2 linked regions of the Caenorhabditis elegans genome follow. The protein of the gene in region 1 purifies or fractionates together with the protein of each later gene. This does not show direct contact. Each region holds a gene or a part of one and is shown in the gene's direction. Other genes may lie near its edges. The genes, in order: sas-6 and zyg-1.

Region 1 (4,097 bases):
TAAATGCAAAGTGTTTTTTAAAAAATCTTGTTGTTGTCGTCGGAAATCATAATTTTACAGTTTTACGCATTTTTAATCACTTTTAAACAAACATTTTGCATTAATCTTGCTTTTTTACTTCTCTTTCCGATAAATATATACACAAATAATGGAGAAAATCAGTGAAATAATGAGAAAAAATAAAATAAATTGATAAAAATAAGGCAAGTGCGCTCCATCGAACGATTCCAATTGGCGGAAATTCAAATAGGAATTAGGAGAAAACTGAGATTTTTTCAAATTTCAAAAAATCATATAAAATCAGGAAAAATTTTTTGAATTTTTTATCATGATATTCGGTCATTGTGACCCCATAGGCGTGTTTTGAAGCAATTTTCCCACTGGGCGCACTCCACCTTTAACAGGAAATTACCATGATAGGCTCCCCTGGAACAAAATAGAGACAATTAATCTCGTCAGAGTGAATTCCCGTGATTTTTCCGATTAATTCCTGCTTCTCGAGATCCCACACAGCCATTGTTCCGTTCTTATCGGCAGTTACCATTGTTGATTCGCCGTCGTCACTGAAAATATTGGAAATAATTTTTTTAAATAATATTTTTCAATTTAAAACACAACCCACCGAAAAGCGACATTAGTGATCTTTGCGTCATGTCGGAACGATGTGATGATCTTATCCATTTTCACATTGAAAAGCATCACTTCACCATTTTCCAGCCCTACAACTACCACATCTAAGGCAGTAGTTTGCTCGATAATTGTGATTCTCGAGTCGAAACTTCGCTGGAACTCATGAATCACTTTTCCAGTTCGGAAATTGATAATTTTCATTCGACCAGTGCTACTGCCGACCACGATTTTATTCAAATACGTGGATGGGTGACAGATTGCCGTTATTTCAAAATCGTCGGATCCTTCCATCAATAGGCTCATTTGAAGGCCTCCTTCTGATGTATCAATGACGTGGATTCCAGAAGAAATATCAACTGCGATCAGCTGAGTTCCGATTAATGTCATGATTTTGATCTTGGCGCCCAAGTCGATGGAATCTTTGATATCTCTGCAGAATGCTAGAGAAGTAATGTTGGTTCCGTGAGCAGCGAACACGCTCCTGAAATGATATATAATTATTTTTGCATTTTTCTAAACCGCTTACGTGCTAGAAGACGCGACTGCTGACACTTTATCGCTTAAAGGTTCCGACATTCCAATCGCACGAAGCTTTTTTCCATTGTATTGCATGATTACATTATCAATTGGGCACAAAACTGACAATGCCGACTTTTTTGCGACAAATGTTGAACGAATTGACGGGGCGACCTGGAAAAAATAAGTAATTTCACTTCAGATTCGGAAAAAAAGCTTACATCACCGGTTACCACACCCAAGAATCGATAAGGAGCAAAGAGCTCCGACTGGATGCGCTTCATTTGCTGGAAAAGCTGAAAAAGCTGAAAAATGAGATAAATTGTTAAAAAACGGGATAAGTGGCTCACACAAGAAAAAAACGACGTAGGATTGTAGAAATGATTGAAAATGCGGGAAACTCTCTATTTTCCCTTATTAAATCTTCAAAAATGTGAAAATTTGACGGAAAATGGGCTGAAATGGGGAATTTTAGTTTGTGAAAAAAAAAAGAAAATGCGATTTTTTGTTAGGCGTAGTTTACAATGTTTTGTCCGCAATTGCCAAGTCCGCAATCGCACACCGTAGTCCCATAGAGCGCGCCATCTCAAATTTATTGTTTTTGCGCAAATTTTTTATTCTTCATTTTCTGCTGTTTTTTCCTATTTTTAACATAATTTTTTTCAGATTTTCTCCCACAAAAATGACTAGCAAAATTGCATTATTCGATCAAACACTCATCGCCTCACTTCTACAGCCGTTGAGCCTAAATCAACCGGATTTTAAGTAAGAAAAGGGAGCAAACGATTTTCAAAAGTAACAGAATTTCAGGGCATACAAAACAAAAGTTAAGCTGAAAATATCAGAGCAAAGGAACGAAACCAGTGGAGAAAAGGAGCTAAAATTCGAAATCAGCCGCTCCGATGATTTTGAATTTCTATTCTCGGAAACGTTGAACAACGAGAAATATCAGATTTTGGCTCGAGATCACGATTTAACAGTGGATTTCGATGCTTTTCCGAAAGTTATCATTCAACACTTGTTATGTAAAAATATTGTGAAAAATTTGGAAGAAGATGGGGAGGTTGATGCACGGAAAAAAGCAGGTTATCATAGTATTGCTGATCCAGGAAAGCCGACGGAAATCAATATTATTTTGGATGCCGAGAAGAATTTTTGCTCGTAAGGGAAATAGATTACCTAATATTGAAATTTAATTTTTTATTTTCTTCCAGATTTGAGCTATTCTCGAAGACTCCTATTTCGAAAGGAAAAATCTTTTCCATCAAGCTTCACGCAGTCCGCGGAGATCATTTAATTTCACATCTTCTGAAAATTTGTTCCAGTCAAGCAGTGAAACTCTCCACTTTTTATAAATCTGCAGATGAGCTAGCAAGCCTACGGCAGAAATGTGGAGATTTGGAAAAACAAGTTGAAAAACTGTCTGGTGTGAAGGAGGAATTCGAAGAAATGTCAGAAAAGTTTAAAGAGCTGGAAGATGAGGTGGAGCTGGTGAAAGAGGAAAGAGAGAATATTCGATTATTAGTTGAGGATAAAGAAGATGAAGTGGCTGATTTGAAACAAGACACGGAGTCGCTGCAAAAGCAATTGGAAGAAAATCAGGAGGAGCTGGAGATTGTTGGAAATATGTTGAGAGAAGAACAAGGAAAAGTGGATCAGCTTCAGAAACGAAATGTGGCTCATCAGAAAGAAATTGGGAAGCTTCGAGCAGAACTTGGCACGGCTCAACGGAACCTGGAGAAGGCCGATCAGCTGTTGAAGCGAAACTCCCAACAACAGAATCAACAAAGTCTGGATATGAGAAAACTAGGAGAGCTGGAAGCTGATTTGAAGGAAAAAGATTCGATGGTTGAGAGTCTCACTGAAACTATTGGAATCTTGAGGAAGGAGCTGGAGAACGAGAAATTAAAGGCCGCCGAGAATATGGATAGTTTTGAGAAGCTGAGCATGGAGAATGAGAATCTTAAAGAAAAAATTGCCCATTACCGAGCCCAACGGTTTAGTCCAGCTCCTTCTGGGCTTCCCGGGCTTCAGACCGGACTAACAAATAGGCTTACACCATCATTCAAGCCTGTTCTTGGACCCCACACTCCATATGGAGCTAATTTGAACTCGGTTAGTAGAAGTTCTACGAAATGAGCTACATTATCGATTTTTCCGGCAATTTCCAATTTTCACACAATTTTTGAGCATTTTTCCGAACTGTTTCAACTCAAAAAAATATTTTAATTTGTTCAAATTTCAGCGCACCCCATTCCGTGACAATACAACTCTTAATTTCCAAAATTCGACAATTGCAACTCCTCATGCTTTTCGTTTCAACAGTCAACTAATCGCCGACGAGACTACTGGTTCAAGTGTGACGAACACCCCACCCGCTCAACGATAAAATCTTTTTTATTGATTTTTTCTTGTCCTTTACTTGAAAATAAAACTCTGCTTATTTCATTGAGATTTCTAGGCCACCGCCAGCACTTCAAATGGGGAAGGTTTTTATCAGTTGGGAGTCCTCCGCAAACATTATGACGCCAGAAACTCGCTTGAACATTTTTCAAAAAAAAAAATGACAGACCCGAAAATTTCAGCATTATACGTGGCAGTTCAAGAGGTAAGGAATTTTTTAAAGTTTACTAGGTTTTCTTCAGAAAAAAAACATTTAATTTTCCAGATAAATTCTCTAATTCAAAATGGAACGTCTTGCAGTCGATCTCTCGAGGAAAAAATTGTTGAGCACTTGGAAAATAGCCAACTTTTAGGGAAATTACCGAAAAACAACGGGGATTCTCATGAGGAGGTTGGGAATATTACACAAACGCAGAATTTTTGTCGGTCTCGACACGACACAGTTATTTGCAAAGGGTTGTGTGCCTTTAAAGAGTAAATACTGTAACGTGTAATTCTTGTTGTTGTATCGATTTTCTTTTTGTTTTGTTTTTCGATAAAAAAATATA
Region 2 (7,358 bases), on another chromosome or scaffold:
TCGCATTCATTGCTGGTGATCTAAAAATTAATTAATGATGCAATTAATTACAAGAAATGGAAATATGAAAAAGGCACAAACCATATAAGTTAGATTCAAAGTAAATTAATTAGATTAATTTGCGAAAAATACTAGAATTTATGATAAATTTAGAAATCAAAATAGGATTGACGGATAAATATGTGCATGAACTAAATAAAAAATCACAAAACGGCAATGGAATTTTGATATTGCGAGAAGAAAGTGAGATAAAGCCTTCAAGACTTTTTGGGAAGGGCGATAGGGCAACAGATTCAAGAAGAGAATAAAAATTTACAAATTAATTATTTTGGTAGATCAACTACGCGGATTTCTTCAATCGGCTCAATTTGATCAATATGACCAATATTTTGATTATGGCGGGGCGTACTTTGAAGTGAGCTATCACTGCTTGGAACGGGAGATCTGTCGAGCACTGAGCCAAGATTAAGAGGAGGAAGACGTTCGTCGGGAGTTAGAATTTCATTAAGCGTTTCAACCATTGGCACAATATCTTCAAGAATTATCTGAAAATTAATTTTTGATAAACGGAGCAAGTTTTTTGAGCAAAAATGTAAGGTGCAACATTTTAAAAATCAATTTTGGTATGATGCATTAAATATTGTTTCTTTTTCTAATTCGCACCTGAATACTACAGATGTCATCGTGCAATTGATTAAGTCCGCTCAATGCAGCCATAAAACCGTCATGTTGTTCTTTATGAGCTCTTGTTTCTTCAATAAGTCTGATCATTTTCGCTTCAACACTCTTGCAAGTTGCTGGAATTTTAGCTTGATCTGCTGCCACTGCTTTCGCATTAACGGCAAAATGTTCTTGTAATCGTGTTGCTAGTCTGAATATGTGACTTTAAAACTTTGAATAAAAGGAATAAATCTTACCGAAAAAAGGGCCGCGAACTGATTTTTTGATGAGTGTAAGAAGCTCCTTGATTCGTTTGTGGATCTCGTTTGCCTATTACGGCTGGAATCACCGGCAAAAAACGGGGAATTTCGGTGAATCTTTTGTAAATTTCATCATCTTCGAGTTTTTCTTGAGGAATATTGCCATCTTTGACCGTGATAATGCCTTTTGATCGTTTAGTACTGGCTCGAGTGAGAAATGAAAAAGACGACTGTTGATTTTGAGGATTAGATGATGTGCCCGCTGTTGACGAGCTTTGTTCGTTTCCCATCTGAAAATTTGTGTAAGAAGTTAAAAAATTACATCAACTTTCACAAACCTTGATTTAATTTTTTGTACTATTGATGGTTGGTCCCATTTGAATTTGATCCAAACCAGTCTCGTTCCAGGTAGTGTTTGGGTCGGCGGGCTGACGAGCAATGGTGGGAATTGCGTCGGTTTCGATATCTGGCTCAAACTCGCGCGGAATTTGAATCTCGGTCTAAAAATGAATAATTTTAATTTCAATACTTACGGGTTTTACACTTTAATTATTCGAAAAGCTTGTCACAAACCTTTGGCAGACGCTGGAATATCCACTCTTTGTCCCACTCTAAAAATGTGTGATCAAGTCGAACTTCTGATGGGACGAACGACATACGATGGCTTTCTCCGAAGTTTCCTTATCCTGTAATCAATAATTTTATGTATTTTTAATCGGAAACGTTTAAAATAAATGGAAAACTCCAAAAAGGAATAAAAAGAAAAATTGTGCAGACCTGGAGAGCGCGTTGAGTTTGAACACATTACGAAACGAGAGACGCAGAGAAAACCGATAACTGAACAGTTGCGCTCTACTGACAGACGACCGAAATATGAATTCTAGTCCCTCGGCCGCCAAAACGGATTTTTCAAACTCCAAATTTATTTTTCCTATTTTTTGTGTTTTTTCATCTTATTTTTAGCGCACCAAGTGTTGATCAACTATGAGATGAGCGGTGGGAAGAGTGGTTCAAGATTGAGTGTAGGTATTTCTACTATTTTTGCCGATACCATGTAAGAATCTATATTTTCTTCAGGCCTATTCACATTTAAAAGAAATCGGGAAAGGTGGATTCGGCGTTGTATATGCAGCACAAAGAGAAAATGGAGAGAAGGTGGCGATTAAGAGGGTAAGTTTCATGCTGTTTTCTAAAGATATTCGAATGGGACAATTTTTCTACTTTTTTTCTTTACAAAAATTGTATTTTCAGATCGATAAAAAGGTGCCAAAAAATCGTGTTTGGACGGAAATTCAAACGATGAAGGAATTGAAGAAAAGCAAATATGTGGTCGAGTTTTACGAAGATTTCGTTGAAGATGGTTATACATACATAGTCATGGAGTTGTGCGAAGGAGGATCTCTTCAAGCTTATGTGCGGGAGCACGGAGCTCTGGACGACGCAACAGCAGTTCATGTTTTACGACAGCTGATTTCTGCTGTATCTTTTATGCACAGGGTGAATGTTATTCACCGAGACCTCTCGGCTGGTAATGTGTTCATCAAAGACTCGAAAAAGAAGAAAATGACGGTTAAACTTGGCGATTTTGGCCTCGCGACCACTCTTGGGCGTGGTGAGACCACATGTACAATTGTCGGAACACCAGGATTCATTGCTCCACAAGTATACGATCAAGAATATACCCAGTCTGCCGATGTATATTCTCTTGGTGCAGTTCTCTATACTATGCTCACTGCTCGTAATCCCCCACCTAAAGGACTACCACCAACCTGCGGAATGTCACCAAATGCTGCTAGATTAGTGGAACAAATGATGGATACAGATGCAAAGAAGCGTATTCCGTTAACGCAGATAGTTTTATCAGAGTTCATGTACGAGAATACGAATGAAAATGCGGTAATCTTCTCGAGAGAACACTCGCGGGATGGACGACGACAGAGATCGAGGGAACCAGTAAGATCCTCAAGAGATGATCGATCTCGAGATGGCAGAGCTCTGATAAGGTCTTCGAGTCAACCTGCACATTCTGGCAGAGCACCGCTGAGCAATCGACCAATTCATGACAGGGTAAGTGTTCCAGCAGATCACAAAAATTTTATTTTATTTTTGACAATTAAATGCATTAAAAATATATTACAATTTATTTTTAGATGCCTTCTACATCTTCAAGAGGATTTGATTCTGAGAGAGGAAGAGAACGGGATAGAGACAGTGGCCGCGGTACCGTACCTCCAAGCCGTGAAGATCGAAACCGTTCACAGTTGTGGCCGATCCGAATGGATAGGTTAGAAGGACAAAGAGTTTGTACTGCTGGAGGACGATATATTGTTGAATTGGATACTCGTTGTCGGTTTGAAGTTGCAGCTCAAGGGAATTTCGTTAAACGAATTTTGATTGTCGAAGTTGATGAAATGGTTCAAACGGTTTATGTACATCGAATACCTGATAGAACAGTACGCGGAAGAAATGGAGAAGAAGAATTGATTACGTTGACGAACAATCCTTTTGTTTATACTTCGTAAGTTAATTATTCTATTAAAAAACGGAAACGTTTGTAGAAACTAGTAACACCATATTTTGTCTTCTTTTCTAAATTTTTAGCTGAAATTATTTTAAAAACGTTCATTCCGCCAATAATTATAACAATGAACAATTTAATATCCTGGAGCAGTTCTCGGTGTTGGACAGTGTTCACATCCTCCTCCGGTTCCTGGTTCTCCCGGTGGTCCTGGCTGTCCGGGTCTTCCTGGTTGACCATCTTTCCCGTCTCTTCCAGGCTCACCTGCTGGTCCTTGTTCACCGTCTTGTCCTGGATTTCCTGGAGTTCCAGGCAGCCCGTCAGGTCCTGGTAATCCTGGAGGTCCCGGACTTCCTGGAGGCCCTTGAGCAACGTTCACTTCATCACATTTTCCTGGCTCTCCGTTATCTCCCGGCTGACCTGGGTCTCCATCCTCTCCAGGCTCTCCATCATCTCCTGGTTCTCCTGGCTGACCTGGTAGTCCTGGAACTCCTGGAAGACCATCTTTCCCGTTTCTTCCTGGTTGTCCCTTTGATCCAATATTTCCTGGTGGTCCTGGTGGCCCTACAGGGCAATCGTAACATGGTGCAGCTGCATCACGTCGTGGAGCTGAATCCTTTGCATCTGTACCGTCTTCTCCATTAAGTCCTGGTTTTCCATCTCTACCATCCCGTCCATCTTCTCCTGGTGGTCCTGGTGGTCCAGATGGTCCGGTTTTGCAAGAACAGCATTGTCCTCCTGGAGCCAAAGAGGATTTGCTGCTACTGAATCCGGACTCGGCATTTGTATTCGATTCAGCGAAATCGTAGCCAGCTTGTTTCTTTACAATAATTCTTCTTCCTTTGATTCCTGATGCGGATTGCATTCTTTCGTATTGAATGAACAATCCAACTGTTCTATGACGACAGAAATCAATTTCGCTGTGCAAATTGGTTTGAACATGTTGCATGTAGTTGTAGAGTAGAGGAATAGCGATAATACAAGTTAAAGTTGATACTGTGCTGAAATTATATTAATTTTAAAAATATAACAAAAATATAACAATTACCTGATGCAAATCCCGAGAAATGCAACCTTTCGAAGCATAGAAGCTTCATGATTCAGTTCCTTCTCGTCCATAATTCCTAATTAAAAGGAGAAGATGTCTTCTACTTTCTGACGGAACCCCTTTTATACATATTATTCGCTTATCTCCGATATTTTTTTCTTTTTCTGAAATAAGCCTTCAGTTCTCCAAAATAGGGCACTTTTTCATCCGCAATAGCTTCTCGTCACCTTAATAGCCACTGCTGTTGTTTTTTTTTCGGTCCGCCGAAATCTTATCATTCAAGATCTTATCTATCGTTCCGTTAAGCTTGTTTCACTTTCTCCCGTATCTCGTGTTTTTTTGAGAATTAAAAATCGGAAAGGTACCGAGCAAGGGTGTCGGTTTTTCGATTTTTCAGAAAATCGAGAAACTAAAATTTTTTGATTTTTGAAAAAAAAAACCTACAAAAAATGATAATGTTTTCTTTTGAACCTTTTTCTCCATCATTCATTTTCAGAATATAAATGCGAATAGAAAGTTGTAGGGGTTTTGAATATCTATTCAAAAAGGGTTCCCACAGGGAAGGATAATCATAAAAGTACAGCAGTACGTGTATCGTACGTGTTGATACCTTCTTAATTGAGCTAATAATTGAATATGTATGTAGGTCATTGGGTTGTAAAATGTGTCTCTTTATGGGGAGGATGGCGATGTGTTGGCAGCTAAATGTATCTCTCTTCAAAAAAATTGAGATTATGAGAGTAAAGGAGAATATGATACCTTGTAGGAGATTGATGAATAAATTGGATAATGTGCTGAACAATTATATTTCATTTGTCACAAGATTTTTCTTCGAATAAACAACAATTACATCTAAACAGAAAAATAAACTATTTATTTCATTTTTAGATTTTCACTGAAAAAACATCGAAAAATGGAAAATTGACCTTTAAATACATAATAATTCAAAAATCACCAATAACAACTTTTTTCAGATATTCCCAAATGCCAAAAGAAGTCCAAAACGATTATATGCGTCTCCAAAAGATGGTTGCTGTGACGATAAGTGGTCGAGTAGCAAAAGTAACATTTCGACGTCCATCACAATTCCCAGATGCTCAAGCTCAACTTATGGAGAATGGAGATCTCCGTATCAAACTTCCGAGATCAGTAATTGTTCGTAAAATGGATAATGGTGAAATTTTCAATTGCATCGATGGAATCGCGACCCAAAAACAGGCAGTTTCTGGAATAACACTTACAAAAGTGAATGAAGTATATAAATATCTAATAAGATTCGAGCAATGTCTTAACGGAATGGATCGAGGAATGGTGTGCTTTCCCATTGTTTTCAGTGCAGGAACTAATATGTAAGTTTGAATTTTTTGGCAAAGACCCTCTAACTTTATTTTAGGGTTGGCAGTTCGCCGTCTTCATTAATGCCATCAGGATCTTCTCAAACTTCCCGATTTCCATTTAGTAATTTATCGAACAATCAGCCATCATTAGTTCCCCATTCGGCTCCTTTTCTTACGAAACCAACTTCATCTCAACGAGCATCATCGGCTAATGTTCAGAGAAGGGTATCAACTGATGAAAATTCGTCACCTAGTGTGGCTCCATCAAAGTATAAAATAAAAATTGTAAGTTTTCAATCTGAGAGCCGTAAAGCATAAATGTATTATTTGAAGGACCCTACAACTCAAAAAGTTCGATCAATTCAAGCAACAGACGGTCGTGTGCTACGATGTTCCACAAGTAAAGCGGATCAATTCATTTTCACAGATCCGGCGATTCGTCCTGATGATCAACGATTTATGCGAACTGATCGAGTACCTGACAGAGCTTCAGAAATGCTTCATACGCTGTGCGAACGTATGAGAAAACTACATCAATAATAGTAATAACTTAGTATACGATGAGTTTTCCTCTTACTTCATGTGCTCCTACATTTTACCACATATCTTTCTGTTAATCCTACACATTCAAGTTTCAAATGATCTTCAGTCATTCTAATGATTCTCTTTATTTTTCTTCTTCACTTCCCTTTTCACCTTTTTCTTTTTTTTCGATTGCATAAAATATACACTTTTAGTTTATAATTATTCAAAAAAACAGCTGGTCGTCATCCAGTTATTTTATCTATGCTCTCTTTTTCTAATTTTTTCAAGCTAATTATCTTTAGATGGCCTACCGATTCGGTAGAAGCCATTGGCAGGATGTTGATCGACTCAATCTGATGACCGTATGCCAAGCACATCAGCAATGGGACAAACGATTGTTAGCGATGAGAGATATTTATGCAAAGGATAACTATCCCCCAGGATACTTCACTGAAAATGTAAGTCTTTTTTTCAAATAATTTCTCATCTAATTTCGATGCACTCTAAGCAATTCTTTTTTCAGTCTTGCCGCGAGGAGCTGGAACGTATCATGAGCCTTCCAACACCAAATCTTCGACTTGGTATTTCCAATACTTTCGTCTACAGTCGAAAGATTATGATGGAAAAATGGGTTGAACACTTTAATACAGAAGTTCGCAAACAAAGAAGCTCCCAGGCAGAACTTGGTTTGGTTACTGTTAGAAATAATGTAAAGTTGATGCAAGAAGCTTTGAAACCTGATATTTCCGAATCAAGACTCCAGGAAATTTTGCAAATGGCGAAGCAAAGTGCTGAACGCCACAGAAATGATGGGACCTATAAAAGAACAGTTGGTTCATTGGACTCGGCTATCGCAGGCAGATTAGAAGCTGAAGGATCTTTGAATCTGGAAACTCTTGTTCTTCCTCCAACCAAGCCTCCCGGTGATGATGTTACAACTGGGTCTCGAGGGTTTCTCACTCCAACACATTCAACGCCTGCGTGAGTTTCAGGATTTTATCTGTCAAAAT

The links.
Region 2: the proteins of sas-6 (region 1) and zyg-1 purify together in Caenorhabditis elegans (affinity purification with western blotting, with the first as the bait; one study listed by BioGRID). This does not show direct contact.

What each region holds. Positions count from the first base shown.
Region 1 is NC_003282.8:13,786,441-13,790,537, reverse strand, and holds sas-6 (Spindle assembly abnormal protein 6), read left to right. Parts: upstream 1-1,806; 5' UTR 1,807-1,828; coding exon 1,829-1,911; intron 1,912-1,956; coding exon 1,957-2,307; intron 2,308-2,360; coding exon 2,361-3,261; intron 3,262-3,391; coding exon 3,392-3,535; 3' UTR 3,536-3,593; downstream 3,594-4,097. Other genes in the region: Y45F10D.7 (Small-subunit processome Utp21 domain-containing protein), read right to left, coding at 413-563, 623-1,111, 1,157-1,320, 1,368-1,430; icap-1 (Integrin Cytoplasmic domain-Associated Protein homolog), read left to right, coding at 3,710-3,754, 3,815-3,940. UniProt on the Caenorhabditis elegans protein: Central scaffolding component of the centrioles ensuring their 9-fold symmetry. Required for centrosome biogenesis and duplication.
Region 2 is NC_003280.10:5,647,865-5,655,222, forward strand, and holds zyg-1 (putative serine/threonine-protein kinase zyg-1), read left to right. Parts: upstream 1-1,883; 5' UTR 1,884-1,909; coding exon 1,910-1,942; intron 1,943-1,997; coding exon 1,998-2,090; intron 2,091-2,171; coding exon 2,172-2,987; intron 2,988-3,070; coding exon 3,071-3,438; intron 3,439-3,529; exon of another isoform or gene 3,530-3,574; coding exon of another isoform or gene 3,575-4,439; intron 4,440-4,486; coding exon of another isoform or gene 4,487-4,557; exon of another isoform or gene 4,558-4,570; intron 4,571-5,460; coding exon 5,461-5,835; intron 5,836-5,879; coding exon 5,880-6,108; intron 6,109-6,156; coding exon 6,157-6,363; 3' UTR 6,364-6,558; downstream 6,559-7,358. Other genes in the region: ddl-1 (WASH complex subunit homolog 3), read right to left, coding at 1-10; sam-4 (BLOC-1-related complex subunit 5), read right to left, coding at 324-545, 664-871, 918-1,210; F59E12.17 (Anaphase-promoting complex subunit 13), read right to left, coding at 1,265-1,420, 1,494-1,577; bli-2 (Nematode cuticle collagen N-terminal domain-containing protein), read right to left, coding at 3,575-4,439, 4,487-4,557; F59E12.1 (Bromo domain-containing protein), read left to right, coding at 6,651-6,806, 6,872-7,329. UniProt on the Caenorhabditis elegans protein: Protein kinase that plays a central role in centrosome duplication, control of centrosome size, spindle formation and nuclear envelope breakdown during cell divisions.